7 linked regions of the Cricetulus griseus genome follow. The protein of the gene in region 1 purifies or fractionates together with the protein of each later gene. This does not show direct contact. Links are inferred from orthologs where the notes say so. Each region holds a gene or a part of one and is shown in the gene's direction. Other genes may lie near its edges. The genes, in order: Zranb1, Cttnbp2, Map4k4, Gcc2, Strn3, Strn and Strn4.

Region 1 (3,869 bases):
GATGTCTTTTTCCAGAACGTGGGCATTGATTTCTTGACAGAAATTGACCCCCCCCAAAAAAAGCCCAAAACCAAAACAAGCAAGCAAACAAAAAAAACATATAGGGCTCAGAGGTTAAGAGCATTGGCTGTTCTTCCAGAGGGCTTGAGTTCAATTCACAGCAACTATAAGGTTGTTCACAACAATCTATAATAAGATCTGGTGCCCTCTTTTGGAGTGCAGGCATACACTACGTACATAATAGATACATCTTAAAAAAAAAATAAAAACAAAACTAAACTAAACACTTGTAGCAGTGTATTGCTGGTTCAAAGCTTGCTTATCATTTCCTTTGCCATTTGCTTGCTAGGTTTTACACACGATGGAAAGACTGGGAATCGTGGTATTCCCAGAGCTTTGGTTTACATTTTTCACTGAGGGAAGAACAATGGCAAGAAGACTGGGCATTTATTCTCTCACTAGCTAGTCAGGTAAGGTTGTATCAATATTTTTTTCTTTCTTTTTTAAAGAGGAAATCTACATGCTCTTAGTTTCTTCAGTCTGTTTGATCAGAACATGCTGAAAGCAGTATGAATGAGAAGGAAAGGTGCTTTATCACTGCAGAACTGTTGCTTAATTCAGGGTAATTGCTGTCAAATTTGTCAAAAACAAAAGATCTAATGATAGCTTTTAAGCATGGTATAGTCCAGATTCCTGCTTGTTCTTCCTTAATACCGGAGGCTTTCCACCCATTTTACCTATCTTCACAGTAGCTCCAGATTAAAGGATGGAACTGAGCTATAAGGCTTGGAGAAAGAATTTGACATTCTTTATATTAACGCCCTCATGACTGCATTTATGTGTTAAGGGAAGAGGGCAGTCTGGATTACTCTGAACAAATATCCATTTGTTCAGTCAGGTTCATTTGAACCTTGAGAAGGGAAGTTCCTTATGTTTGGACAGTTTGTGCAGTGTTCACGGTGGCTAATTTATGAAATAATGTACTTCATGGCCATGTGTTGTCTATAGTGGCTATAGTTGAAGGATGGACCTAATTTGGTAATACTGCCATTTGACTTTGTGCAAAGTAAAGCTGTTTTCATGATAACTTTGTTGCATGTAGGACTTTCTCATTTTATGAAGTGTCCCTTGCTATCTGAACTTTTTTCTGAGATTCTCTACATCTGTGAGTTTGGATATGAATGATGCCTATGTAAAGACATGGGAGATTTTGTTATAATTCTGTTGGACATTGTCATTTGGGGAGTCAGTTTCTCTACCAAGGTTTTCGATATAATATTGGTTTTTACACAGCAGTTTTCCAGTACTGGTAATAAATGTTTTAAAGGTAAATTGTCTTTTCTTTTTGTGTGTGTGTACAGCCTGGAGCAAGTTTGGAACAGACACACATTTTTGTACTCGCACATATTCTTAGACGACCAATTATAGTTTATGGAGTAAAATATTATAAGAGTTTCCGGGGAGAAACATTAGGATATACTCGGTTTCAAGGTAAGCCATTCCTCAAGATTCCTCTAGCAGTTTTGTTTACTATGACCATATAGTTGTAGCTTCAGAGCACTTACTTATGGGGAAAAGGTCAGAGGAGCTGCTGGGTTTCAGGAGGTTAGAACAGTGGGGGTGGGGTTTGGGTAGTAGATAGGTACTTTCTCCTTTTGCTCTTGTGCTTTTTTTCTAGGAGTTTATCTGCCTTTGTTGTGGGAACAGAGTTTTTGTTGGAAAAGTCCAATTGCTCTGGGATATACAAGGGGCCACTTCTCTGCTTTGGTTGCCATGGAGAATGATGGGTATGGCAACCGAGGTGCTGGTGCTAATCTGAACACTGATGATGATGTCACCATCACATTTTTGCCTCTGGTTGACAGTGAAAGGAAGCTCCTCCACGTGCACTTCCTTTCTGCTCAGGAGGTAAGTAGCATGTTGTCTTGTTACCCCAGAAACCAACCTCCTGTGCCTTCCAGAAGTGGTGGCATCTTTAGTATGTGATAGGAGCTGTCCAAGTACCCCCCACACACACACACACCAGTCAGAGAAAACTGACCTTTTCAAAATTGAAAAGGCAGCAGGCTGGTTATTGAATTTATGACCTAAATAGAGGTAAAAGGGGTGCCACCATGTTAGTCTCCCCAGGGCTGGGGTAAAGGTGTGCTCTATCCTGCACCTTTTTTTTTTTTTTTTTTTTTTTAAGGCATTGTAAGGGGACTGAGTTAAAAAAAGGGCATGGGCATGGCCCTTAGGGTTCTGAATGAGCTAGAAAGTTCAGAAAGAGATTGGATCTTTAGTTTATGCCAAAAACATGGAGAGGCAGCAGTGTGTAAACCAGGCAGTGAGGATATATAAAAGAAGACCCAGAAAGCCTATGTTTTAGAAAATTATTGGCTCTTTATTATATATTCTAGTAATGACCACAAAACACAGTCATCAAGAAAAATAGTTCATAGACCATGACTTGTACAATTCTAGCCCAAATGTAAACTTAACCAGGGAACTTACCTTGTCATGTCTGAAGCTCATAATTTCTGTAAAGGTTATGTCAAGTAAATTACCCAGTTTTTATGAAGAGGTTATTTCCTCATTTAATTGTGACCACAAAAAAAAAAAAAAAAAAAAAAAAAACCCTCCTGGCTTTTAATGATGAAACTGACAAAAGGTTGTAGTTAGGTTGAAACAGTTGTTTGCTTTTACTTTTCCATTTTCACAGCAGCTTCAGGTTATTCCTGCCAAGCATCTGACCTGCTGCTGTGTTACTTTCTTTTCTTCATATTCCTCTAAAAGCTAGGTAATGAGGAGCAGCAAGAGAAACTGCTCAGAGAGTGGCTGGACTGCTGTGTGACTGAAGGGGGAGTTCTAGTGGCAATGCAGAAAAGCTCGCGTCGGAGAAATCACCCCTTGGTCACACAAATGGTAGAAAAATGGCTTGACCGCTACAGACAGATCCGGCCTTGTACATCCCTGTCTGATGGAGAGGAAGATGAGGATGAGGAAGATGAATGAAAACAAACGCACTTAAGGAGCAAAAAGACCAAGGCATCAGATCTGAGATGACCCCAAAATTAATTAGTGTGGTATTTTCAGCAGAACATACAGCATGGAGTGAGCCACACCCTGCAGGATCTGCTCCCAAGTATCTTTCTGCTCCACACCCACTGGAGATAACGAGTGCATCTGCATGAGGAGATGGAGAACTTTGAACTACAGTTTGTAAAAAAGAAAAAAAACAAACAAACAAAAAAACCCACACCAAACCCTAATTTTATTGATAGAACTTTTTTCTTTCAAATTGTAAATCTGTCTATGAATGTATCGCATGTGGTTGTGTAAGAAGTCGTGTACTAGGAAAAGTGCACCAGCATCTTCATGTTATTGAGAACATTTCCCCAGCATGGGCACTCATAAAAAGCACATGGCAGATAACCTTGTTGAGATACTCTCATTAGAACCTGATATCCTGCTCCCACCATAAAAGATCCATTTTCCATTGTTTCAGAGATTTGAAAACTTTGTACAAATTATCCACGGCAAGATAAAAATAAACAAGCCTTTATTTTATTAATAATTTAGTTCCTGTTGTGCCCAATAAAATAAAAATCAAATCCTTAGGAACAAACTGCAAGGAAAACTAGCAATTTTTTTTTTTTTTTTTTGCAGTGAACTTTACATAGAAATTGTCTTGTTTTGAAGAGGGTTTTGGTTTCTGTTGTTTTCAAGTTTCCTGAATTGCCCCTTTTGTTATTTAGATATTTGTTTGGAAGAGTGCCCTATAAAAGGGGTTCTTACTCGACTTTGGGCAGGTGCATTTTTGCACTTAGTCCCTGGATGGATAGAACGGCTGAGCAGGCCCGTTTGTCACAGGGTGGATTGTGTGACTG
Region 2 (4,475 bases), on another chromosome or scaffold:
AAATATCATTGCTTCTAATTTTAATTATTTACTATCAGTTCAAAACCTTTTACTGTCAAATGCTTTTCTTTTATCTTACAAGAAATCTAGAGAGTCTCATATTAAGCAATTTCAGGAGAATATTCGATTAAATAAGAGAGTTGTGTGATGAACAGGAGTACAAACCGAGCCTGGCCACCTGAGTGAAGCCACAGAGAATAAACAAAGGAAGCCCTGAATCAGGATGACCTCCATCTGCTTCCTAAAATCTGACCCTTAACCTCAGAGTTTCAGGTGGAAGTTTCCTTGACCTCTCTTTTGAGAGCAAACTTTCTAGATTTTGCTGACCAATTCTTTCCAGTGTCTTTGTAGAAAAGGTTTTCTCTGATGTGTCATACTTGGATCCAGTTTGGAAAGCTGAGCAGTTAAGGTGTCAGAACTTCTCATTAGGAGCAGGTTGTTTTGTTTTGTTTTAAAGGCTTTGATCTGTGCACTTGGACTGAACATTCCAGTCATTCATCTTCCAGAATTTCAAGTGTGGGATTGGGTTGTCGGTTGATTTGACTGATTTGATGACATCACAGAGACAGTTTGAATGCCTCCATTTGATTTTGTGCTTTCAACACATCTTTAGGGACCTGGAACTTTAGGGACCTCCTTACCATATGGTCTCAGCAAGGTGATAAATTTTCAGATTCTGGGAGTTGGCAGGAAAAAGTAAGAATGGAATTAGAGGCAGGATGGGGGAAGTTAAGTGTCTTGGCCTAACTCATTCGTGCTAACTCCCCAACCATGCATTTCCAATCGACCATTTTGTCAAAGGTTTGTGTGTGTATATTTGGGTTTTCACCTGCACGGAGAAGTTGCTGTTCTCACAAAAGTATTAAGACATCACTGATACTTGGTGGTTTTTCTGGATGGACCCCTGGGGGGGGGGTCTCCACCTTCCTTAAAAAGAGAATCGAACAGAAAGGCACCTAGCTGAGGGGCTTAAAAACAGCAAGGCACAGACTTTCAGCGGAAAGTTGATCGTTTTAGAGGGTGAGCATCGAAGATGCGATTAAAAAAAAAAAGCTGGGTGTATATAAATCAAGAGGATAGAAGTGTTCAGAAGGCAAGAGTTGGGAAATATTAAGAGAGGCACCTCGATGGAGCTAGTCGAAGTGAGGGATGATGGTTCCTCGACCGTAGATCTTAGATTTAGCATCCAAGGGCCTGACATCCAGTTCGGTTTGTGTCCTGCTAAGTCAAGAGTTTGTCAGCCCATCGCCTCCGGAAAGGAAGCTTATTTTCTTTTGCATCCTGGGGTGTTTGTCTCCCCAACACCAGCTCAAAGCCACGCGGCTCGCTTGCTTGCTGGTTCTTGGTCCCTTGGGAGCGGCTGCTGCAGGCTAGCGGGTGGGCGGGGCGCCGGCGTCTGCAGCGCGCAGAGGGTTAAGCGGCAGGGGCGGTGCGCGCGGGAGGCGGGAGGGGGCGGCCGGGCTCCGGGGCTGAGAGCGCCGCGGCCGCAGCCAGCAGCGGGTTAAGCGCCGCCCGCCCGCCCGCCCGCGCCGAGAGCAGAGCCCCGCCGCTGCTCCGAGCTCGCATTCGGATCCGCTAGAGCAGGAAGATGGCGACGGACGGCGCGAGCTGCGAGCCCGACTTGTCCCGCGCCCCGGACGACCCGGCGGGGGCCACGGCGGAGGCCGCGGTAACCGAGTTCCCTGGGCTCCGGGAACGGTGTAGATGCGGGCTGGGGGTGGTGCCCCGGTCCCCGCCGGACACTCCCCGAGGGATGCCCGGTGCTTCCCTGGAGTGCCCCCTTACTTCCTCGGGGTTCCATTTCCTTCTCCGAGGTACACCTTCCCAGGGGTGTCCCCTTCCTTCTGGGGTGCCCCCTCCCTGGTGTGCCTCTTCTCCTGGATGCCCCTTCCTTCCCCCGGGGTGTGCCCTTCGGATGTCCCTTCCCTGGGGTGCCTGCCCCCAAGGCCAGAAGCGGATTCGAGTAGCGCGACGCTACCCCCGCCGCCCCCGAGGTGCTAGGAGCCCGTCGGTCCTTCTGGAAGCTCCCCGCATGCGTCCTTGGGGACCCCTTTGCCCACTGCTGGGGTGCTCACGGAGGATCTCAACCCCCATTGTTCAGCTCCGCCAGGCACCGAGCAAATGCTAGTCTCGGGGTGCCTGACACCTCTTGGGAGACCTGGGGAAGCAGCGAGGGAAAGGCGACCCGTCCGTCGCCAGGCAGGTGTGGAGATGCTCTTTGTGTGCGGGGGTTCGTGTGTCTCGGGGGGGGGGGGAGGACGCCCCGTGGGAGAGGCCCCGCGCCCAGCTGTGGGTGCTGCTGCAACTGAGCGCCAGCACTTTGGGTCCTAGCTGCCTGCTGCTCCATCAGTCATCGGTAGGGACCTTCTTCCCCAGGCGGAGTGGCACTGAGCTGGGGTTTCCGAACCTGGTGTCAACACATTGTTCCTTTCCCTAGCGTCCTCTCTTGCTTAGGCGCCTACCTGCTCCCTTTTTTGGTACTCTTGAGTTGTCTGCACGCACAGACGCTCCCCGGTGGTTCCCACTCCCTCTGTGCCCCGCTTGGGGGGTCTCAACCCACAAAGCCAGCTTGGAAAACGTTCGCAGGTCTGGGAAACAGCTTTTGCCAGAGCGGCAAAGATGTGCAAAGAAAGGCAGGTCTAGGAGCGCCTCCCAGTCTTGGCCAAATCCCGCAGCTCTCTCGGAAGATTCTGAGTGGGACCGAGGGAGCTGAGCAGCCTGGCATGGACGCCCAGGTCCGTATCTCCCATCTCCAGAGCCCAGACCCGGGCTGGGCAGGACCAGGTGTAAACAACCTGGGCAGTTTAATTCCCTCCCCTCTGGAGGGAGGGCTTGCTAGGAGGAGAAGGCAGGGGTGTGGAGGAAGGTACCTGGAGGCAAGAGCTGCGAGAGGAGAATAGGAGGGGTCAGGTACTAATTCCCATTGGTGAAAATAGAAGACTCTGGGCTAAAGTTTTGGGAAAAATAGCGGGTTTTTTTTTCTAATAAGAACTTTAAAGATATTTCAAATGAAACCTTTCCACTTGAGAAATACTTTCATTCTGAGAGTCGGGGACAACGAAGAAAATGGCTATCAAAGCAAAAGTCCCTCTGGGAAGCTGAAACTATTGAGTGTCCTGTTCTCCATGAGGGGGAAAGTGGAGGTGTGGGGGTCGCGCTCCTTCTCCCCCCAGGAGGGTGGATAGTTTGTTTAATCTACTTGGAATACACAGCTTTGTGCCCACAAGATATTTCGGCCACCAGGCAAACCAACACAAAGCATGCAGTTTATGATATGTAAGACTGTAAACAAAATTGCATCGTCAGGAATACTGCTGTGCCAACAAGGTCAGTGTTGCTGTCGGCTGTTTAAAATTGTCAGGAGCCCGATTCAAAGGCTGCTAAGTTGGCAGCTTGATTGTTCTGCTTTGGTTGAGGGAGAATAGCCAGGCAAAATCTCACCGACTGGGACCTCCTCCGTTATTCCCAAGGGATCCCTTAGGCTTCAAATCTGCAGTAACAGTGCTAAGGTATTTGAAGTAACTGTCTACTTTTAAGAAAGAATGTGGTGGCTTTTTATTCAGTAAAACTGGACTTCATTGTTTACAAGTAGTTGGACTTGAAATATGGGGACTCTTATGTTAGCTACTTGAGTAAACTGGCATTTTTTTATTATTTTGAGGATCACATGTAGCTAAAGCTTATCATGAAATCATGGTTCTCCTATCTCTCTGCCTCCTGAAGGCTGGGGTTAGTAGTCCTTACCACCACCCTGCCTGGCTTTGACTTATTATTATTATTATTATTATTATTATTATTATTATTATTATTATTATTAAAGAAAAGCTAATTAGAGAAATCCTGTTTGTCATACTTGTTCTTCTTCTAATGGTTAAAAATTAAAACTATATTTTGCCAACAAAGGACTTAATATATATTTTTAATTATAGTGAGGAATTCTCTTTTTGCCTCAGAGAGATTTATTTCATTTCAAATTGGTTTACGTCTTGTGGAATTTTATATATACATTTGGCAGAATCAAGCTAGTGAAGCCTCCAAAGCAGTTGGCTATTTTTGAAAGTGCATGTTTTTAGAGGGCTTTTTAAAAATTCTATTTAGATTGTTGCTTAGGAACTGGTTTAATTTATAGTTTGCAGTTTAATATAATTTCCAGTGGAGTGTTTTAAATTTAGTTTGTTATCCTTGTTCTTCACTGTTTAAATCCTGAAAGCACCTCGAGTGTAAAGCTGGCTAACAGCTACATTATTCAATAGGATCATATTAATAGTGTGATCCATGCCGGGAGCCTGGGTTATTTTCAGTGCCTTAGCCAAATGGGATGACTTTTATAGGCCATATTGCTATTTCTGCTCAGAATACAACTCTTATGGTAGGCAGTATGGAAAACAGAAATCTGCTTTTTATTGTCACTGGAATTTGGGAGTGAGAAGAAAATGGAGATCCACTTACAGCTGTATTTAGGGAGGTGACTAGCA
Region 3 (4,604 bases), on another chromosome or scaffold:
CCGCTGGGGAGGTAGTGGTGCACACTGTTAATAACAGCACTTGGAAGGCAGAGGCAGAGGCAGGCGGATCTCTGTGAGTTCCAGGACAGCCGGGGCTGTTACATGGAGAAACCTGTCTTGAGAAAAACAACAAAACAAAACAAAACAAACAAACAAACAAAAAACCACTAACAAATTCTCAAACACTTTTGTTACTATGAATTTCCTAATAAATGGATATCAGGAGTTTTGAATATCACCTAACTTTACAATGGAGTCTCATGTCAAAAATCTTGGAATGCAAATGATCAGGAGGCAGGGGAGTGCTAAACATTCTCCGGGCACAGCTGACTTGAACTTTGGGTATAGGCCGGTCTAGAGAGCATCCCCACTCCTTTTCTACACTAGGCTCTTAATGGGCTTGTGTAAAACCCTTCTAGTATTTTTTCTTTTTTTAACTCTGAGGTTATAATGTGGCTACTGCTTAACTTAGAACAGTTCATGAGTGTGTGGGGAGGGAAGTAGGTGCAGAATTGCTAGTAACAATAGCTGCCCATGTCTGTGAAGCTTAGCTAAGGAACACCTCGGATTTTGATATTGGTGGCACTGTGGAAGACCAAGCTTAGCTTCATCGGCTAACTTGTCCCTTTCCAGGCCTCTTGCATGTGGGAGTCAATCCTCAAATCAGCTTCTTTGCAATACTACCTGGTCATTCTGGGGTACTCCAGAGAACACCCGTTGTAAGCTAACAGGGAGCCACCAAACACGCTTTTGGCTGGTCCGGAAATGTGATGAAGATGACTTAATGAAACAGTATTTAAACTGGCTAGCTGACTTGCTTTCCATTGTGCTGGGAGAAGCCTGTTTGGTGACCCGTGGTGATCTCCAGGTACTAAGCACTGTCCCGGCCCTGAGATCCTAAACAGAGGGCACACCGGCCACACATTGTCAGGAACACAGCAACAAGCAATTACAGGGGCTGTTTGGGATTCGGCCGGGCAGTCAAGTGATGCTCAGCGAATCCTCCAACTGCAACCATGCCACAAATTGAGCCTGGGAAAGAGAAAGGAAAGGAAAACCCTGTGGGGGAAAGGGAAACCAGGGGCTCCGGGACCCACAGGCGGTAGGCGGCGGCGGGGACCTGGGGAGAGGTGGGTGGGGACCGAGGCAGGTCCTCTAGCCCGCTCGGGCACACCCTTTCCCCGGCGCGGCCCGCGGGGCTCCCCCGTGTTCTTCATTCATTGTTAGCGGAGGCAGGGGCGTTCCCTCGAGTCCCGCACCTCCTCCGGGAAGGCCCCGAGGACTCCCAGCCCCACCCTGGGCCCGGCCGCCATCCCGCGGAGGGGCCGGCGCCCCGCCATTGTTCGAGCCCCACCCCTGCTGAATATTCACGCGGCGCGGGCGCGGGCGAGGGCTAGAGCCGGGTTCCGCCCGCCGCCGCCCGCCCGCCGCTTGCTTTCCCGGCGGAGGAGGAGGAGGAGGACGAGGAGGCGGGGGGAGCCGCTCGCTCCTCCTCAGAAGCGCCGGTCGGTGCCCCGCGTCCCGCCCCGCCCCCGCCTCCCGCGGCATCTTTGTCTCGCGGCCTCGAGCTCGCTCGCCGCACTCTCCGGCGGCGCCGCGGCCCCAGCTCCGGGCCGCTCCTCCAAGGCGGGCGGCGCGGCAGCGCGCGCGCGGGCGAGCGGGCGCCGGGGCCGAGGCGGCGGGAGACGCCCGGGGCTGGGGTGGGTGGGGGGCTGACGGCCGCCGCGCCATGGTGTGAGCCCGCGCCCGCGCTCGCTGCGCTCCGAGGAGACGCCGCGCCCTCCGCCGCCGCCGCCGCCGCCGCCCGCCGGCGGCCTTGCCCGTACGGCCCGTGCCCCGGCGCCGCGGAGCTCCTGACCGCCGCGGCTTGTCGCTCCCGTCTCGGGGCGGCGACCGGGGAAGATGGCGAACGATTCGCCCGCGAAGAGTCTGGTGGATATCGACCTCTCGTCCCTGCGGGTGAGTGTGGCCGCGCCCTGGTGGACACGGCCGCGGACACCCGCGGGCGCGGCGGCCCCTTTGTCTGCCGGGCGGTGCGGGCGGGTGTGGGACTCGGGCGCGACTCATCGCGGCGCTCCTGGCCGGCGGGGACCCGGCGGGGCCAGAGCCTTTGTCACCGCCCTGCATCCCTCCGCCCCTCTCTGTCTCTTCATTTGGGGGCCCCCTTTTTAAATGATCATCTCCCCCTCGTGTCTCTCCAGGACCCTGCTGGGATTTTTGAGCTGGTGGAAGTGGTTGGAAATGGCACCTATGGACAAGTCTATAAGGTCGGTGTGGGGGCGCCTTTGTTCCCCGTGGCGTGGAGAAACTTCTTAGGGGACGAGGGAAAGGGTGGCAAGACGCTGCTGACTGGAGGCCATGCCGCCTGGCCAAAGTTGGGAAAGGGGTTTCGCCTGGCTTTTTTTTTTTTCTTTTTTTTTTTTTTTTTTTTTTTTTGCCGACTGTGTTCAGACTGGCCTTAAAGGACCTCATTTCCTGGCTTTGAGATAAAGGAAATAAGCTACACTGTTAGGCATGCACTTTGCTGCAGCAAAATAGAAAAGGAATTTTGAGTTCAAAGATGACCAGAGGGTCTCCCCCCTCACCCCACCTCCCCTTTCTCCAAATCTGACCTCCGTGCGTTTGCATTTGTTTGTGAATTAAAATTTAGTGTAGATAGGCCTTGTCTGTGATTACCAACTGGCTTGGTCTTCTTGAGAATTGTCATCATGCTTCTTGCCTAAGAGCGTTTGCCAGAGGACTTAACGTGGGGAGTTTGGTGTTACCTGGGACTGCTTTTAAAGCTTTGGCCAGCCTACCCTCTTCTGGTGGACAGTATTTTGGGGGAAGCCGGAGGAGTGTGTGTTTGGGTCACAGGAGCAGGAAGAATTACAGTGTGGGGATTATAAAATCTGAATTCCAGGAATAACCTGTGTAACAGCTGTGTAATTGAGATAGCGAGGAAGGAGGAGCAGAGAGGGTGCCAGGTTTCACACCCACCACCCCAGGTCCTTCTCTTTCTTTACATTTGCCCTCCTCGCCCAGCTACAAATGAAACTAAGCATTCTGGAGCCTGGTTAGTCTGTGCTGGGTAGCTGGTGCCTAATGTGACTTTAACTGTGTTGCTCATTCTGTTGAGTTGTTGCATGTATATTCTAGAAGGACGCTCAGGCTCCAAAATGAAAAAAGAAAAGGAAAGAAAAAGAACTTTATCTTTCTTGATTTCTTTCTTGTTACCAAAAGTTTTCTGGAAGCTGTCTTTGCTGGGGGAGTTCTCTAGTTGTTAGGACTGGGTCAAGGTTGAGCTACAGAAGATTATTTTATGAAGGAGGGCTTTGTGGCTCACCATGAAGAATTGTGATTGTTTCACTAAAAATGGGGGTGGTGGTGGAAGCTGACTGTAGACATTTTCTGAGGCCAAATTAAGTGTGGATTCTATTATCCCTTTTCTGTTTTATGAATAGGGTTTGTGTGTTCCTGATTGCTTCTCCCAGCTTTAGAATCCCCCTTCTCCCACCCTGGGACCTGGATGATGGTATTGACAGGCTTGTGGTCTGAACTTGAGTCAGTATTCTTAGGTGATCTCAAGTGAATTAGCTTGTTTTGTTGGTTAACTTTTGGGGTCCAGGCCAGATTTTTGAATTTGAAAGGCAGCCCTGTTAACAGGGCTGCTGGGCTCAAACTGAATTTGGAAGGCTTTGGAAAATTTTGGAAAAGATTGTGTTGCAACTCTCTGAGTGGCTTAAAGACATTCTTCCCAGCTCCAGTGTTTGTTTAAGCACTGGTTGGTTTTTTTCTAACCCAGTTTCTCTGGCCAAATCTAAGTGGTGAGTAGACTCTTCCAAGTGAGTTAGCCAGAGCTTGTTTTTGACCTGGTTACACAGTAGTTGGATTGTTTGTGTCTCCCTGGGTCAGCGTGGAAACTGTGGGTAGTGAAGTAAGCTGGAAGGCACTGGTGAATTTTAAAAGGCCAGCATGAATAAAAAAGGTTTTAAGAGGTGGGCACTTGGTGGTGTGAACTTGGGCAGGTTCTTTGTTGTTTCTCCTCCTCTTTTCTTTGGCCCCACCCTTCCTACCCCAAGGCTTTGCTAAGCATTGCTTTTGGGGAGTGCTAGGGATACATTCCCTAGTGTTCTTGGACTACACACTGTGCAGATGAAGCATCTTCTATGCAAATCTAAGGAATCAAGTTGCATGTTTTTATAGCTTAGTTTAATAGCACCATTGATTTTTGTTTCATATATAGTCTTCTTCCTTTCCTTTTCTTTGAACTTAAGATAACACTTGATTGATAAATACTAAAGTATTTCCTCCTTTTTAAACATTATCACAGCGTTATTCCATACTTGGAAACTCATCAGGTTTTCTTTAGTGTGCCATGCTTGCCCCAGTCCTTGCCACTAGCAGGTTTATGAACAGGTAACATCTCCTAGAAATGGCATCTGTTTCCCTTTAAGTATATAATTTTTAGATCCAGTACTGTTGTACAGAATGATTTATTTATTTATTTGTTTATTTTTAGCTGCTTGGCATGGAGTGGTTTTGGGATTAGGTTATTAATAGTAGAATTTATTATAATTTATAAAGAAAAATTTTAAGAAAAACATTTTTTAGGGAAAACATTA
Region 4 (3,869 bases), on another chromosome or scaffold:
TCTTTTCTTCTTGTTTTTTGCCTTCATTATATTTTGATCTGTGCCTTAGTGAACACTCTTTCATTAACAGTCATCCTACAAAAATGTTCTTGCCTCTGACTTGCTATCACAGAAGCAAATGCCCACTTATGTGCCTTCTGTGTGATACAACTGTATTTCATTTTGGTTGTTTTCTGAGACAGGGTCTTATATATATTAGGTTTGCTCAAACTCATGATCTTGCATCTGCCTCCCAATTGCTGGGATTATAGGCTGGCACTATTACTCCTAGCTTTTTTGAAGTACTTTTAAAAAGTACTACTGGCAGATATACACTAAATATTAGTATGCTTTTATTTAAGCTACATATACTTAAATATTTACAAATAAACTGATTTGCTTTAAAATAATCCAGATCAAAGGTTTGCACATTTTTGTAACGGGCCAAGTAGTAAATATTTTGGCATAAGGCTACATAGTCCCTGTGGTGGTTCCTTAGGACACCGGTGTGGTGGGCTAATGAAACTGCAGGCCACATGTGACTGAAGGAGCCTAAGTGTGCTCTGTTTAACCCATATTCAGAAAGTAGCCAGTGAGCTGCGTTTTGATGAACCTGTCAGGGTGTGCTGGTAAGTGTTTGAGGTGGGTGATTGGCATTGTCAGATATGTTTGAAAAACCCTTCGTGAAGAGATAAAATTAATTTCTTCTAAGTTAGTAAGAAGAAAAAAATTGTCACTTGTGTGTCATGTTCACTAGTAAAAATCTCTTTATTTTCTTTCTGCTGAAATTACTTCCTGAACTAGCTTCCCTGCAGACTTCAGTACAGCACTCTGAAGAAAAAAACACCAAAATCAAACAGCTCCTTGTGAAAACCAAAAAGGAACTGGCAGATTCAAAGCAAGCAGTATGTTAATTTCTCACTACCATATTTTAGTTCTTACAGTTGTGAATTACTTTATTGTTTAATTTAACCAGGATTCTCATTCTATAGGAAGCTGATCACTTACTACTCCAAGCATCTTTAAAGGGTGAGCTGGAAGCAAGCCAACAGCAAGTAGAAGTCTATAAAGTAAGATTTTTAACTTTTGAAAAGTTTTTTCCATGTAGAAATAAAGTGCCATATAGATGGGCTGGAGAGCTGCTTCAGCAGTTCAGGGTACTGGCTGTTCTTTCAGGGGACCCAGGTTCAATTCCCAGCATCCACATGGTGGCTCACAACCATCTGGACCCCCTCTCCCACTCTGCCCCAGGGAATCTGATGTCTTGTGCTGGCCTTATGGTCATCAGGCACACATGTGGTACATATAGGTAAAACATCTGTACACATAAAAAAATAGTAACTTTGTTTTAAAAGAAAAATTACCTGTTAGAAATTTTTCTATTAGATAAGAAGTTACCCTTTAGGGATACTTAGAAAGATTACTCAACATTTTGAGGAAGCAGAAGCCGTGCTAAATGACTATCATGTATTTGAGAGTTTGTAATAGTCTAGAATAGTGAATATAAAATAAACATGGCCAGACCCTTTCCTCAGCTGCCGCCAAGGTACGTGGTTCTTCCGAAGAAGCTAAGGCCAAGTTGGGGTGAGGCCCTCACTTCATCTGGTGACTAGCACCTTGCCCGCGGTCTGAAACATGCCCTCATTAAAGCAGCCGGTGTCAATGTTGAACCTTTCTGGCCTGGCCAGTCTGCAAAGGCCTTGGCCATTGTCAACATTGGGAGCCTCATCTGCAATGTAGGGGCTGGTGGACCTGCTCCAATAGCTGGAGCCGTGCCAGCAGGTGGTCCTTCACCCTCCACCGTGCTGCCCCAGCTGAGGAGAAGAAAGTGGAAGCCAAGAAGGAAGAATATGGAGTCTGATGATGACATGGGCTTTGGTCTTTTTAACTAAGCCTCTTGTTAACGTGTCTAATAAAAAGATGAACCTGTAAAAAAAAATAAAATAAAATAAACATGGCCAAAAACTTCATCTGAATCTTCTGACTGAAAAATACAATTTTAAAAAGCAATATATGAGGTGGTCAAATATTTGGTTTTTTTTAATGTATAATGTCTAATGGTGTTTAATTAAACATTACGTATATAGTCTTTAATTGTGCAGATACTAGTTTAAGAGAAAAATAAATCAAGCTGAGATTGAGAAAGCATTATTCATGCTGTCTCTTTTTTTAAAGATATTGTAATGCCTGAAAACCACTATTTAGTTGTGCCATTTAATCTGTCTCCCCAGATTCAACTGGCTGAGATAACATCTGAGAAACACAAAATCCATGAGCACCTGAAGACTTCTGCAGAGCAGCACCAGCGCACACTGAGCGCATACCAGCAGAGGGTGGCGGCACTTCAGGAAGAGAGTCGTACTGCCAAGGTGTGTCCTCCAGGACCAAAACCACCACTGGGATTCTTACTGCAGGGCCACATTCACTTAGCAGTGTTCTGCAATTAAGAGCACTTAGCCAGATGCTCTAAACAACAGCATGGACACTCTCACATCTTTGGGTGTGGGGGGGGGTGAGTGTGAGCACACACATACCACCATGTATGTGGAGGTCAGGGGTCAATATTTAGGAGATGGTTCCGTCCCTTATTGAGACAATGTCTGTCTTGTTTCTGCTGCTGCACGTTGTACTCCAGGCCAGCTGGCCCCATGCGCTTCCCCGGTCTCTGTCTCCTGATTTGCCATCTGAGCACAGGGATGGGAAATGTATATTTTCTGATCTGGCTATTTTTAAACATGGGTTTCAGGGTTCAAACTCAGGTTTTTCAGGCTTGCACAGCTAGTATTTTTAACTGTTAGCCATCTCTCGGCTCTTAACAATATTTTTTTTTTCAGAAAGTAAAAACATGAGTACACTTACCTTTCATTTATGTTTTGTAATTTATATGTGTAAAAATGTCATATTTCTACACAGAGAAACCCTGTCTCAAAAAAAAACAACAATAAAAAAATGTCATATTTATTAAAAAGAAAAACAAAAAACTTAGGGAAAGCACTGCAGTTTTTTCTGAGGTTTAAATAATTGTGACATTCTAATAGAATGACTATCGGGTCAACTTCCCTGATTTCAGCATACAAAGCATTTAATTACTTACTGTGGGTTTGTTAGAATTCTCTCTTTTACCCTAAATGACCATGGCAGGAGTGTGGGAGTCTAAAGATCACTTCAGAAACACACAGTTTAACTCTCACTACTGTGTACTAAAAGTGAAGTTCAAGTGAATCATGTGTTTGAGAATCAGTTTTTCCTATTTATAAAAAGAACATGGCCAGGAGGTGGTAACTCACGCCTTTAATCCTAGCACTTGGGAGGCAAAGGCAGGTGGATTTCTGTGAGTTCCAGGCCAGCCTGGTCTAAAAAAGTGAGTTCCAAGTAGCCAGAATTGTTATAACAGAAAACTTTGTCTCGAAAAACCAGACAGACAGACAGACAGACAGACAGACAGAGGGAGAGGAGAGAAGAGAACATATAAGTTAAAAATTATAAAGTAATGAATGAAAACAGTGTCGTTATAAAATTTGTGAGTAATAAGTTAGTCTACTGTAGTAGAAGCATGAAGTTAGCAGTTTTAAAAGGGTCAGGCCAACAGGACTGGGTTCTGTTTTGATTAAGTCTAGTATTTGGAGGTTTTGTTTGTTGTTAGTTTTATGAGACAGGGACTTGTTCTATATCCCATACTGACCTGGAACTCAGAGTATAGACCAGGCTGGCCTCGAATTCATAACAGTCCTCCTGCCTCCACCTCCTGAGTGCTGAGATTGCAGGGTTGCGCTAGCATACCCATCCCTAGAACTCACTTTCTAGTAGAGTTAATCAAGGCTAAAATGGATAAAGCTGTTTTCTTCATTTTCACAAACAGAATTTTTTACTTCATTTCATCAGCCTCTGAA
Region 5 (4,501 bases), on another chromosome or scaffold:
TTCGCAATGTGCACATGAAAGGGTCCTGAGGACACGTATAAGGTATTTCTGAGTTTTTAGGACTGAATGACCAGCTGTATGCTGATGGTTATTAAGTGAAGAAACAGTACTCTAGTCATGTAAAGAAACTGTATTGTTAGCTAAGGCCTCATTTCATACATAAATACGGCAGTAAGAGTAAGTGTGACAGATCCAACCAGTTCTTCATTAATTATAACTATGCAGCAGACATGACAAAGTGTATTACTTTATCTCTGGAATTCCATCCTGAGTTGGCTCCATAGCAAAATATTTTATAGGCTTTCATAATGAAAATAAAACTTTAAAACGCAACCACTTTAATATGCAATTTCCTATATAGCTGTACATACGGCCTCTCTCTTCATCATGCTGTTAAATATTACTTTTGTCTTACTGTGCAAACAAATGGTTATTAGCTCTTTTCTTTTTCTTTTTCTTTTGCTGGCTGTTCTGGAAACCCATCAGTAGACCAGACTGGCCTCATGGGCTGCCATGTCTGGGAGCCAGGTTATCAGTTGTATTAGCTTTAAAAACTTGTGAATTCATAAGGATAATTCCTCTGAAGCCAAGCACAGAAAAACGCACCCCCTACTACTTAAAATCGACCTTTTGTGTGTGTATTATTTCACACACACACCACTTAACGATGAAGATACCGTTGTTGTTGATTTACTTCATTTTAAGTTGTATTCACAATACTCTTATTCTCTGTTTCAATCAGTATTTCTGCCACTAATGACAGTATCTGAGTCCATTCACTTCTAAACATCAGAGTCCATCTATGGGGGTCTTTGAAAGTTATCTTTTCCCGTCCACCCACCATTCTCAGTAATCACTACCTCTTCTATAGTAAAAGAATGAAACAATCTCTTAAACGCCCCAAAACACAACCCATCTCATAAAGACTGAAGACAAGTTACAACAGGCAGCCGGCAGCACTGAAGTGGGACCAAAGAAGCAGGTCGCGGCGGAGCCCAGGAACCAGTGAGAGAGTCGGAAGAAACTGGGGCATTTGCAAAAGGTGAACGTCCCCCTAAATCCTGGAGACTGACTGGTGCTAGGAAACCAGAGGTGAAGTGAGTGACAGGCAGAGGAAGAGAGAGGCTCGACCCTTTGGGTCTGAGCAAAACACGCTGGGAATTCTAGAGAAACGTCAGGCATTCCAGGGAGGTACGAAGCCGGACTCGAACCCAGCTGCTCCTGAGGGCGTCTGCGTTGAAGTTAACAACCCGCAAGCCCGAGCGAGGCCCGCGCGCCCCTCAAAGGCACGGCTACACACCGGGAGTCCACTGGGGCGAAGTAGGAAAGCAGGGGGCGGGCGCCCTGGCGGGGGCGGGGCCCGGGCTTTTCCCCGCCCAAAGAGCGGCGCGTCCTTGCCGCGCCTGCGTAGGGTGAGGCCGGACTCTATTTGGTTATCCGGCGTGCGGCCGCCGAGGCGCTCGCTACCCAGCGTGCCGTGCGGCGGCGGCGGCGGCGGCGGCGGCTGCGGCGGCGGCGGCCCTACGTCTCTCCTCCTCACCCGTCCCTCCCCTCCCTCTCTCCCTCCCTCCCTCCTCCCGCCGCGGCCCCCCTTTCCCCAAAGTGAGTGAGTGAGACGGGCAGATGGAGGAGGGACTGTAATGGCGGCGGCCGGCAGCTCCCTGCTCTGATCCGCGGCGAGCACACGGCGGCGACCCCCCTCCCCGGCCCTCTCCCGGCCGGCCCCCGCCCTGCCGTCGGCGCGGGGCCACCGTCCCGGTCCTCCCCGCAGCTGTCGGTGTCTCGCTCCGCGCCCCGGCCGGGGCCGCACACACAATGGACGAGCTGGCCGGCGGCGGCGGCGGCGGCCAGGGGATGGCGGCCCCTCCCCGGCCGCAGCAGGGACCCGGGGGGAACCTGAGCCTTCCGCCGGGAGCCAACGGAGCGCCGGGCGGCGGGGGTCCGGCGGCGGCCGCTGAGGCGGCGGCTCCCCCGGCAGGCCCCGAGCTGTCCCGGCCGCAGCAGTACACTATCCCGGGGATCCTGCACTACATCCAGCACGAGTGGGCTCGGTTCGAGATGGAGCGGGCGCACTGGGAGGTGGAGCGGGCCGAGCTGCAGGTACCTGGCCGGGGTCGAGTGCGGGCAGGGGCAGGGGCAGGGGCAGGGGCAGGGCAGGGGCAGGGGCAGGGGCGCGGCCCGGGGGTGGGGCCCGGCCGGGCTGGGGCCCGCGCCCTGAGGGCCGAGGGGACCTACCTGAGAGGCTCGCGCTGGCGAGCGGTGACCGCGTCCCCGGCCGGCGCCCCCTCCCCCGCTCCCGCAGCGGCCGGCTCCCTCCTCACAGGCAGCGCGCTGCGGGCATCCTCGGGGCAGCCATTTTGGCTTTTAGCATGGCGTCTGCGGGGCTCCTCCGGTGGCGCCTACTGGGCCTCCGGGCTTGGGCCCAGCGCCTGTGAGCGAGAGTCTGGCGTGGGCCCGCTGGGCACTGAGTTGGCGCTTGTTTGTCGTCCTCTTGAGGTCGAGGCGACGCGGAGAGGGCCCGGGCTGAGTGTCTGGCCTCCTGGCCCCGGCACCCCCTTCCGATGCGGCGTCCTGTCCCCACCCCCGCGCCGCGGTACGCAGTTGCCCCTTGACAGCCACGCCGCTTCGGGCTACTACCTCGCACAATGGCTTGCGGCCCGCCGGCGAAGTTTGCATTCCCACCCCCAACTTTTAAATACCCGGGATGCCGCTCTAGTCACTCGCCTTTCCTTCAGCGCCTAGTGATTCATCATCACCCTTAACTGGATTTTTCTCTTTTGAGTTGGTTTCTCTAGACTTTCCTTCTCACCGACTGCCTGGTTTTTACTCATGCAAAGCAGAGCTAGACTACCTGTACTGTATTTCTGGAATGTCTGCGGAAAGACTTGGTCTTAATTTGAAGGAAAACGTACTTTTTGTTTAGTACAAGCTAAGACGAAGTTGGGTGTCTGCTTAATGTGAACCTCGGAGAGGCTTGAGTTATCCTAACTTTTTGGAAGATAGTAGTTTCTCGGGCTTATGCCTTGAATTTTTAAAATTGCTGCATCTCTTTGAAAGGGTTGAGTTGTAGGTTAGATGTATTTAGTTTTAAGTTCCTTCCCAGGGTATAATTTAAACTTAGGAGAAAAAAAACATGCATCTAAACGTTGCACCTGTTTTTTAGACTTAGGAATTTCGGATGTAAGCAATATTGTCCGGTATTATACACACACATACAATACACCTTTGGTGAATTTAGGAAGAAGTAATGTTGAAAAGGGAAGATTGATTAATGTAGCAAAGGTGTTCTCAAACATGAGTCTTCAGTTTGGTTTTGAACCAGTAAACTTTTTGTTACATTAATTATAAAGAATTTCACTCAAAAATTAAAAATATCTGATGGCATATGTCTCTAGTCCCAGCACTCAGGAGGGAAAGACAGGTGATCTCTGTGAGTTCAGGCCACCCTGGTTTAAAGAGAGTTCCAGGACAACCAGAGCTACATAGAATCTGTCTCAAACAGAAAAGTAAAAGAAACATTAAAAATTAATATTGTTTCGCTGACAGAAGGATTGCAAGACAAGTGATTAAACCAGTGAGTTTTTGTTGTAGGTTTTTTAGTTTTGAGGTAGGGTTCCCCTCTGTGTCCCTGGCTGTCTTGGAACTCAACTCTGTAGACCATGCCTGACTGTGTTCCAAGTGATGGGATTAAAGGTGTGTGCTACCACCCCCAGCTGTGTGTGTTTGTGTTTATTTATTTATTTTTTTGGTTTTTCAAGACAGGGTTTCTCTGCATAGCTTTGAAGGCTATCCTGGCACTCGCTCTAGAGACCAGGCTGGCCTTGAACTCACAGAGATCCACCTGCCTCTGCCTCCCCAGTGCTGTGATCAAAGGCATGAACCACCACTTCTTGGTGTGGTTGTTTTTGAGTCTCTGTATTCTTGGGCGGCCTGGAACTCACTGTGTTGAACAGGCAGGTTTCCCTCTTAGAGATCTATCTGCTTTGCCACTTAAAAGCCGGGATTAAAGGTTTACACCTCACCCAGCAAGCCAGTAAACTTTTATTTTACTTCACAAAGTGGGTTAAGTTAAACTTAAATTTTTTTTTTACATATTTTATTTGACACCTTTAGTTGATTCGGTAGTCTTAAAATTGTGCTTAAGAATACTTTAGTGTTTAGAAAGTTGTGTTTTACAACTTTTAGAAAGCTTGTCAAAATTGAGTGTTTTTTTTTTTTTTTTAATTTGTAGAGTCTACTTTAATATTCTTGGATTTAGAGTTTTGTGGACATACAACTTTCTAGTACGGTGTGATGCCTGCTTAATGTTCCCTGTGGTTAGACTGAGGTTAAAGTATTCATTAAAAAAATGCATTGAGGCTTGTGCTTACTTGATAAACCATCAGTTCCCTATGTGGTGTTTGATCCTTGTACTGTTCATTTCCGTTGATTTTCAAATTAGCAGTTGAATTTGTCACTCAGTCATGGTTAATGTAAATAGCTAGGAAAGCATCTTGTGTCC
Region 6 (3,869 bases), on another chromosome or scaffold:
CTGTCTTATGTTTTACAGTGGATCCTAAATGCCTTGACAATTTTTCTTTCTGGTTTTGCATGTGCTCGTTTTCCACAGATCCTTCTGTTCTGAGAGGCCCTCTGCTGGGCCACACAGATGCTGTGTGGGGGCTGGCCTACAGCGCGGCACACCAGCGCTTGTTGTCCTGCTCAGCAGATGGCACTTTACGTTTATGGAATACAACCGAGGTTGCTCCGGCACTGAGTGTGTTTAATGATAACCAAGGTATAGTCTTTAAAGTTAAACACTTCCAGATCTTTTATTAAACATTCTACTCTGAAAAAGCAAGCAAATAAATGATTCTATAAACTCTTGAGTGTATAAATTTTAAGGCTTTTTTTTTTTTTTTTTAACGCACCAACATTGTTGCTTAACATTTCAGTGTATGTATAATTCTTAAAAACAGCATTTGAGGGGCTGGAGAGATGGCTCAGTGGTCAGGAGCACATACTATTCTTCCTGAGGACCTGAGTTCAGTTCCCAATGCCCACATCAGGTGGCTCACAGCTGCCTTAACCCCAGCTCCAGGGTGTCTCACACCTCTGACCTCAGTGACCTTCATTCATGTGCACATACCACACAAACATACACACACAATTGAAATAATAAAAAAACTCAGCATTTGATGAGAAGATGGGGTTTACATTTTAAAAAGTGAGACGTAATTTATTTTCCTTGAAGATTGAGGGCATCAAGGATGTGTTCTGATGCGTGAGGTGAACTGGTGCAGTCCTGGCGCTGGTATCAGTCTGGAGTGGGACCATCTCTTCCCTTCCCTGGGCTGCTTTGTGACCTTAGTCAGTCCCTGTTACATATCCCAGCTAGCGGCACCTGTTGTCAAGATCACTTTCATCATAGATTAGTTTTGTCTATTCTCACCTATAATAAAATAGCAGTTTAGGATGTTATCTCTGTGCCTGGCTTTTATTCTACTGTAACGTTTGTGCAGTTCAGTGTCAGTTGATTTCCCTTTATTATGTGAGAGTATTGTATTAAGCTATGGTCTGTCTATTCATGTATCTCCTGATAGACACCGAGGCTGTTATGAGCAAAATTGTTATAAAAAGTCATAATTTCCACGACCTATTCATTTATCTGGTAGTATTTACTGTTGTTCCAGTGTGGGCCTATTAGGAATAATTTATTATGAAGGTTCATAAATTTTCATCATGGGTAGTAGAGACCTTTCAGTAGACTTGTTGGGTTTTAGGGTGGGTGTTTTGTTGTTAAGTGAAATGACCACATTGTTCCCAGAGTGCTCATGGCACTTTATAACCTGGGCTGCAGCCTGTGTGAGGTCAGTTTGCTCTGCATCCTCACTCAGTCTTGATGTTGTCACTCTGGTTCCCTTCTGTTTCAGTGTTTAATTCTTTGACAGCATATTTGGTTGAGTACCATTTCTTGCTTTTCATTGACTATTCCTAGAACTTCTGCTGTACAGTTTTGAATCATTACCTTGCTTTGGTTAGGTGTTGACCCAAATGAAACATTATTTTATTTTTATATTTATCATTCTGTTTGTTTGTTTTCTTGTGACAGTGCCTCACTATGTAGCTCTGGTTCACCTTGAATTCATTGCCCAGGCAGACCTCAAATTCACAATCCTTGGGCTTCCACTTCCAAGTGCTTGGATTTAAGGAGTATGCTACCACACTGGCTTTATCATTCTGTTTTTGGTATAAATGAGTTCCAAGTTTGTCCCCTGATGATAACTTTTCGTGTTTGTGTGGTGATTTGCATGCTAGACAAATATTCCACCATTGAGTTACATTCCAGGCCCAGAACAACTTTATTCTTCAGCAAAGTCACAATGTGCACTTAGACTTTGAAGACATAACTCTGTGCTAGCAAGCACAGTACCACTGAGCTGCACTCCAACCTAAGTTTGGATTTGTTATTGTTGTTTTCTTTTCTTCAAGATGGATTTTTAAAATACTGAATTTCCACTGTGTTACTCTATGCTTGAAATGGAAGTGGAAGCTATAAAACTTATGGTCCATGTGTTTTATTTTCTTTCAAAATAAGTTTGCATTCTTTGAGTGGATTAGCAGAATAATGGGTAGAAAACATTTAACAGGTAAGGATAATAAAATAGACTAAGGCTAAAAGTTAGAAAAGAAATACTCTTCTGTGAACAGTTCTAAAATAACTTATTCTGATGTTAAGCCTGATTGATTAAAGTAAATCATGCTTAGTTTTGTTTTGCTGCATTTTGAGTACTTTCTCAAGTAGACCTTTTAACTGTCATCCTCTCTGAATATTTCTGACACTTAGAACTGGGAATCCCTGCTTCGGTGGATCTCGTGAGCAGTGACCCGAGCCATATGGTAGCATCATTCAGCAAAGGGTATACAAGCATCTTTAACATGGAGACACAGCAGCGAATCCTCACTTTAGAATCCAAGATAGACTCAAGTATGTATACCAATCTTTAAAAGTCTCTCTATTTGTTCTTAATCAAAAGTGTAACTGCCCAAGTCGATGTGAAGAATGATTAAATCATAGTGTTCTATTGCCCAAACCTAAAGACACTTTTACTTTATAGAAAACTTTTTTGGGGGGGAAGGGGTAAACTTCAGCACAGTCTAAAGCAATCAAAACAAACAACAGAAAAACTGCACCCAAAGAATTTATTCCATGTGGCCACCTGGCATTTTCTGTTGTATATTGAAATAACTATAAATTACTATAGTAATTAATATCTTCAAAAATTCTTAGATAGTGTACAACAATTAATTAGTATGCTTAAAAACTCAAAATCTGGTGGGTTGCAAGATGATGGTCTTTTCTATTATGATGCAAAGAGGAACAAGTAAGGAGGCAAAGCCCTTGATTTCATGATATATTTAGATCACAGCTACCTGAACAGAGCTGCATGTTAGAAGGGACTGAGGTTTAACTTTGAAGATTATTTGTATATTGGTGGTGTTTGGTTTTGTTTTGGGAAAGGATCTCACTGAATCTCTGGCTGGCCTGAAACTCACAATGAAGATGAGGCAGGCTGCTCTCGAACTCATAGAGATCCACCTGCCTCTGCCTCCCAAGTGCTGGTACTAAAGGTGTGCACCACCAATGCCCTGCTGATAGAATTCTTTAAGGTAGCAAACATCACAAAACGTGTAGACTTGGATGTCATCCGTGTCTCTAGGCCAAGTCTTAGATGGAATTCATGCATAGCAGGTGGTGGAAAGGAACTCTGACATTTAATTACCTATAAATATGCCAGTGTGATGTACCTTAGGCAGCTCTTATTTTACAGCACTGAGGTTGGAGAAATAATTGGAGAATAACTGCACCACAGCCAGACTAGGGTTTCATTGGTTTTTTTTTTTTTTTTTCTGTTTTAGTATTTATATCTCCTTTATATGAAAAAAACTACTTTGACTAATTAGTACTGATTTTTAATTTTCTGTTTTTAGCAGCCAATTCTTCCTGCCAAATAAACAGAGTCATCAGCCATCCCACTCTTCCAATCAGCATCACTGCTCACGAAGACAGGCACATCAAGTTCTATGATAACAATACAGGTAAGAGCTTGCTAAGGTTTTGCATCTGATGAAGCAAAACCAACAACAGCAACAAGAAACTAAAACAGCAATAAACACCTAAGTAAGCTAATTATGGTGTCTAATGGGAGCTTTGTAGTTACAGAGTAGGCACTGAAACACTTTCTTCACTCAGTTTCTGTTCATTTCATTCATATCGGCTAAGACTAATATGGAATGGGTTTTTTTTTATTTTGTTTAATAGTAAGCAGATAGTCTAAAGCCACAAATCTGAGTACTAATAAAAATGATCTGTTGCAATCATAAGGAGTGAGTATTAATAGAAACATGTTGGAAGCAGAG
Region 7 (3,869 bases), on another chromosome or scaffold:
TGTGGATGCCTGAAAGTTGTTATTTCTAGATTCAGAACCCCTGCATGACCACCTTGGGAGTCAGCTGTGTCCTGAGGCACCACGGTCTGTTGGTGCTGCCCATTTTGGGGCCCAGTTTGAATTTGGGCACCTGAGGCAATTGGCTTCATCTGTCTAGCTTGTTCTCACACATACAGGATGGGAAGAAGGGTAGTAGCTTGGGTTACTGCTCACAGGGCTGTGGGGTAGAGTGCAGCCATGTCTGTAAGTGCCTTCTGTGAGTCACTAGCTCTTGCTAAGCACACAGCTGAGTGACAAGTGTGTGTTACCACTGTTAGTTTTATGCCCAGAGTGAAAATAGAAGGTTCTGTTCATCATCACCACCACCACCACCATTGCGTGTCTCTGAACACCTCCAGGGCTTGTGTTGTCTGACTTCTTGAGAGCCATGTGCTGGGGAGGGGCTCAGCAAAGCTGTGAGGAGAGAGGAGAGGGCCCAGTGCTGTGGTGGAGGAGGTCCCACAGCAGTTTCCAGATCTAGGCTTCGGGAAGTGAGCAGGTGGCTTGCCTTTTCCCAGGGACCAGCTGGAGTTGACCTCTGGACCCCATTCCTTCCCCCACTTGTTTCCCCACCCTAGCTCCCATCCAAGGCCCTGGTCCCTGAAATGGAGGGTGAGGATGAGGAAGATGACTCAGAAGATGCCATCAATGAGTTTGATTTCCTGGGCTCAGGAGAAGATGGTGAGGGATCTCCAGACCCTCGACGTTGTGCTGCAGAGGGGAACCCTCATGAGCTGGGTGAGTTGGGAACTGACTTACAGGCCTGGCTAAGACAGGATCCGACCCTGCATGCTTCAGCTGCTTCCTGTCTGGGGCTCTGCCCAGGCGGATATACTTCCTGAGGTGGGTCAAGGATAGCTCAAGCCGCAAGCCAGGTCCAGGCCCATACCCTTCCCTGGAAAGTCCCTGCAAACCGTATTCAAGTGGCCCTGCCAGAAGTCAGCTCCAGCCTTCACGGCAAGTGTCCAGTCCTGTCCAGCTCAAGCAGGGGACAGGATGAAAACTGATGGTGGAGAAGGGGGGTGGGGTTGTGTCTTCCTGTCTTGTGACTCCTGGCCAGAAGGGCCTTGGGGTCCCCTGGGCCTCGGGTAGAGTCAGGATTTGCCTGCCACCTCTCACTGGGTCCCTGCCAGTCTGTCTTTCCCGGGGTCAGTGCTTTACAGCCTCCACTGTTTATGGGAAGGCCAGCAGCACTGGGGTGGGCTTCTCCCCCCTCCCCTGCAAAGATTGGGGAGAATTGGTGGGTGATTCTTGCTCATGCCTCTTCCGTGCAGAAAGCCGTCGGGTCAAACTCCAGGGAATCCTTGCTGACCTCCGGGATGTGGATGGGCTGCCCCCCAAAGTGACTGTCCCACCTCCTGGCACACCCCAGCCCCGGCCTCATGAAGGTAATCTCCAGCCCCATACCCTAGTAACTTGGGGTCTGTGACAGAGGCGGGGGGCTGCAGAGCTAAGCCCGGGGTTTCTGTGTCCTGAGAGGTAAGGCCCAGTCTCCAGTCTGCAGCCTCCCTGTCCCAAAAGGTCGTCTGTCTGTCTGTTTCCCTCTCTTTTTGTCTGTCCTGCCCTGTCTGTCTGTCCGTCTGTCCCTGTCTTCCTTTCCAGCTGCAATTCTTGATCCTGTCTTCCTGCCTCTCTTATCCTTTCTGCCTCTCTCTGCCTCTCTCTCTCTTTCCCTGGCCCTGTCTGCCCCACCCACCCCTCCCCCCTACCAGGTTCCTTTGGCTTCTCCTCAGACGTCTTCATCATGGACACTATCGGGGGAGGGGAGGTGAGCCTGGGGGACTTGGCAGATCTCACCGTCACCAATGACAACGACCTCAGCTGTGATGTAAGTTCTTGGGGCGCCCCATCAGTTCTTGGCTCAGCTCTGACCATGTTGCAGGTCTGGGTTCTGTTCCTTTTATGTGAGGACTGTGAGAGGTCATTGTGTAGCCCCAGCAGGAGGCTTAACACACCCTGCCTTAGAGAGGGGTGTCTGGCAAACACCTCATTGAGGTGCAAGCTCTGGAAGGCACAGGGGTTTCTTCGTTCCTCCCTTTTTGGGGGGGTGGGGAAATGATTATCAGCCATGCTTCTCCAACTCAGGGTCTCTACTGTGAGTGGAACAGGGGCTGGGACGAAGGGGCCCGGTGACTGGCATTCTGTGCTGTGCACCTTGCACAGGTCACCGGGAATTTCTGGGTTAAGTTTGGGTGCGTTTTTCCAGGGCAGAAGATGAAGTGACTGACCCCAGTGAGATTGGAGGCTAGTGTAGAATGCAGAAGTGAGGCTAGCAGGAGTGTACTGCAGGGTTCCTCAGGCTGCCCCACGGTGCTGCAGGGAATGGGGAACCCACTTGAGCACAGATCCTCCAGTTCCTAAGAATCTTGGTAGAAATGCCAACTGAGCCCAGGTGACGGGGGTCTGAAGGTGCTGAGCTTCCCAAACCTGGCTGCCTCCTCGCAGTGAGTAGCTTCCCCTTGTAGGACACATGCTCAGAGCATCTCTCCTGGAGCCTGATGGGTCTGCTTCCCAGCCTCCCCTGCCAGGGAACTGTCTCAAGCTCCCCATTCAGGGCTTGTTCCTTAGGGCTCTATAGCCTGGAGACCTATCTGCAGTTACTCTGACCTTCCCCCAATCCCAGCCTCCTTAGAAAGGCTGAGACCTGCTGTCATCCCACTGTTCTGCAGCCCCGTGTGGCTTCTCATTTCTCCAGGGCCTTTGCTTGGGATGGAACAAATTGCGGGTTTCTGAGCGGGACCCGCTCTTCTGCCTGCCGTTGACCTCTCTAGCTTCCTCTCGTGTGGCCTGCTCCTAAATGTTGTGTATCCCAGCTTCCTGCCTCAGGGCCTTTGCACACGCAGCGTCTTTCTAAAGTCCCTTTCCCCTTGCCTGATGCTGGTTAAGTCCTGCTTGTTTGTCACTACCTCACAAGAGCCTCTTGGTCCCTGCAGAGGAAGCTAGACTGCCTTGGTGTCCCCTTCTCATGCTCAGAGTTCCTGGTTCTATGCATTTAGGACCTGTCTGTCTCCCTGAGGGGCCTCTGAACTGTGAGGCCCCAAAGAGTAAGGCTCGCTTGGCCCCTTCAGAATCCCATACTGCTGAAACCTGCTGAGTATGTGAAGGGCTCTTCTGGGCCTGCAGAAGGGAAGTCAGGCTGGGACTGGTCAGTTCCAGCCTGAAGGGGGTGGGTGGTGTCAGTGTCTGTACGAGTGCTGGGATATACAGGAGGACACTGAGGCAGCTTCCCATCCCCAGCTGTCTGACAGCAAAGACGCCTTCAAGAAGACATGGAACCCTAAGTTTACCCTCCGCTCACACTACGATGGCATCCGCTCCCTGGCCTTCCACCACAGCCAGTCAGCACTGCTCACTGCCTCTGAGGATGGCACACTTAAGCTGTGGAACCTTCAGAAGGCAGTTACAGCCAAGAAGTAAGGATGCCATCCTGGAAGGGGCGGGGCCCTGGGACCTGGGGTCTCAGTGACGAGATTCCTCCTTTTCCCACAGAAACGCTGCACTGGACGTGGAGCCCATTCATGCTTTCCGCGCTCACAGGTAGGGAGATAGATGCCTGAGCCTGTCTCAGTCCTGCACCCAGCAGCACGGCCGAGGCTGCTGCCTGCTTCCCTGGGGACCTGGAGCAGCAGTCGCCATCCTGGGCCCTCTGTGGTTTCACTGAGGCCCTTCTGAGCAGTAAAGTGAAAGGGTAGAAGACAGGCAGCTTTCCCAGGTGGCACAGCCAGAGTGTAGATGACAAATTACCTTTGGCATCCTTAAAAAATACCTAGGAAAGGAGACTGATGAGAGGGCTCAGTGGATAAAGATACCTCCTACTGAGCTTGACAACC

What was found.
Region 2: the proteins of Zranb1 (region 1) and Cttnbp2 purify together in Homo sapiens (affinity purification with mass spectrometry; 3 studies listed by BioGRID and IntAct, with this or other methods). This does not show direct contact. The link is inferred for Cricetulus griseus from reciprocal best matches to the Homo sapiens genes ZRANB1 and CTTNBP2.
Region 3: the proteins of Zranb1 (region 1) and Map4k4 purify together in Homo sapiens (affinity purification with mass spectrometry; 3 studies listed by BioGRID and IntAct, with this or other methods). This does not show direct contact. The link is inferred for Cricetulus griseus from reciprocal best matches to the Homo sapiens genes ZRANB1 and MAP4K4.
Region 4: the proteins of Zranb1 (region 1) and Gcc2 purify together in Homo sapiens (affinity purification with mass spectrometry; 3 studies listed by BioGRID and IntAct, with this or other methods). This does not show direct contact. The link is inferred for Cricetulus griseus from reciprocal best matches to the Homo sapiens genes ZRANB1 and GCC2.
Region 5: the proteins of Zranb1 (region 1) and Strn3 purify together in Homo sapiens (affinity purification with mass spectrometry; 4 studies listed by BioGRID and IntAct, with this or other methods). This does not show direct contact. The link is inferred for Cricetulus griseus from reciprocal best matches to the Homo sapiens genes ZRANB1 and STRN3.
Region 6: the proteins of Zranb1 (region 1) and Strn purify together in Homo sapiens (affinity purification with mass spectrometry; 4 studies listed by BioGRID and IntAct, with this or other methods). This does not show direct contact. The link is inferred for Cricetulus griseus from reciprocal best matches to the Homo sapiens genes ZRANB1 and STRN.
Region 7: the proteins of Zranb1 (region 1) and Strn4 purify together in Homo sapiens (affinity purification with mass spectrometry; 4 studies listed by BioGRID and IntAct, with this or other methods). This does not show direct contact. The link is inferred for Cricetulus griseus from reciprocal best matches to the Homo sapiens genes ZRANB1 and STRN4.

What each region holds. Positions count from the first base shown.
Region 1 is NC_048596.1:67,857,001-67,860,869, reverse strand, and holds part of Zranb1 (ubiquitin thioesterase ZRANB1), read left to right. Parts: intron 1-349; coding exon 350-470; intron 471-1,361; coding exon 1,362-1,491; intron 1,492-1,678; coding exon 1,679-1,908; intron 1,909-2,775; coding exon 2,776-2,994; 3' UTR 2,995-3,869. UniProt on the Homo sapiens protein: Ubiquitin thioesterase, which specifically hydrolyzes 'Lys-29'-linked and 'Lys-33'-linked diubiquitin. Also cleaves 'Lys-63'-linked chains, but with 40-fold less efficiency compared to 'Lys-29'-linked ones.
Region 2 is NW_023276806.1:208,097,191-208,101,665, forward strand, and holds the start of Cttnbp2 (cortactin-binding protein 2), read left to right. Parts: upstream 1-1,479; 5' UTR 1,480-1,588; coding exon 1,589-1,669; intron 1,670-4,475. UniProt on the Homo sapiens protein: Regulates the dendritic spine distribution of CTTN/cortactin in hippocampal neurons, and thus controls dendritic spinogenesis and dendritic spine maintenance.
Region 3 is NW_023276807.1:8,322,631-8,327,234, reverse strand, and holds the start of Map4k4 (mitogen-activated protein kinase kinase kinase kinase 4), read left to right. Parts: upstream 1-1,778; 5' UTR 1,779-1,902; coding exon 1,903-1,959; intron 1,960-2,201; coding exon 2,202-2,267; intron 2,268-4,604.
Region 4 is NW_023276807.1:2,796,208-2,800,076, reverse strand, and holds part of Gcc2 (GRIP and coiled-coil domain-containing protein 2), read left to right. Parts: intron 1-783; coding exon 784-884; intron 885-971; coding exon 972-1,049; intron 1,050-2,210; coding exon 2,211-2,348; intron 2,349-3,869. UniProt on the Homo sapiens protein: Golgin which probably tethers transport vesicles to the trans-Golgi network (TGN) and regulates vesicular transport between the endosomes and the Golgi.
Region 5 is NC_048598.1:150,592,276-150,596,776, forward strand, and holds the start of Strn3 (striatin-3), read left to right. Parts: upstream 1-1,579; 5' UTR 1,580-1,815; coding exon 1,816-2,100; intron 2,101-2,235; exon of another isoform or gene 2,236-2,556; intron 2,557-4,501. UniProt on the Homo sapiens protein: Calmodulin-binding scaffolding protein which is the center of the striatin-interacting phosphatase and kinase (STRIPAK) complexes.
Region 6 is NC_048600.1:5,374,236-5,378,104, forward strand, and holds part of Strn (striatin), read left to right. Parts: intron 1-78; coding exon 79-246; intron 247-2,295; coding exon 2,296-2,436; intron 2,437-3,440; coding exon 3,441-3,548; intron 3,549-3,869. UniProt on the Homo sapiens protein: Calmodulin-binding scaffolding protein which is the center of the striatin-interacting phosphatase and kinase (STRIPAK) complexes.
Region 7 is NC_048602.1:11,461,423-11,465,291, forward strand, and holds part of Strn4 (striatin-4), read left to right. Parts: intron 1-617; coding exon 618-777; intron 778-1,313; coding exon 1,314-1,427; intron 1,428-1,751; coding exon 1,752-1,867; intron 1,868-3,276; coding exon 3,277-3,452; intron 3,453-3,528; coding exon 3,529-3,576; intron 3,577-3,869. UniProt on the Homo sapiens protein: Calmodulin-binding scaffolding protein which is the center of the striatin-interacting phosphatase and kinase (STRIPAK) complexes.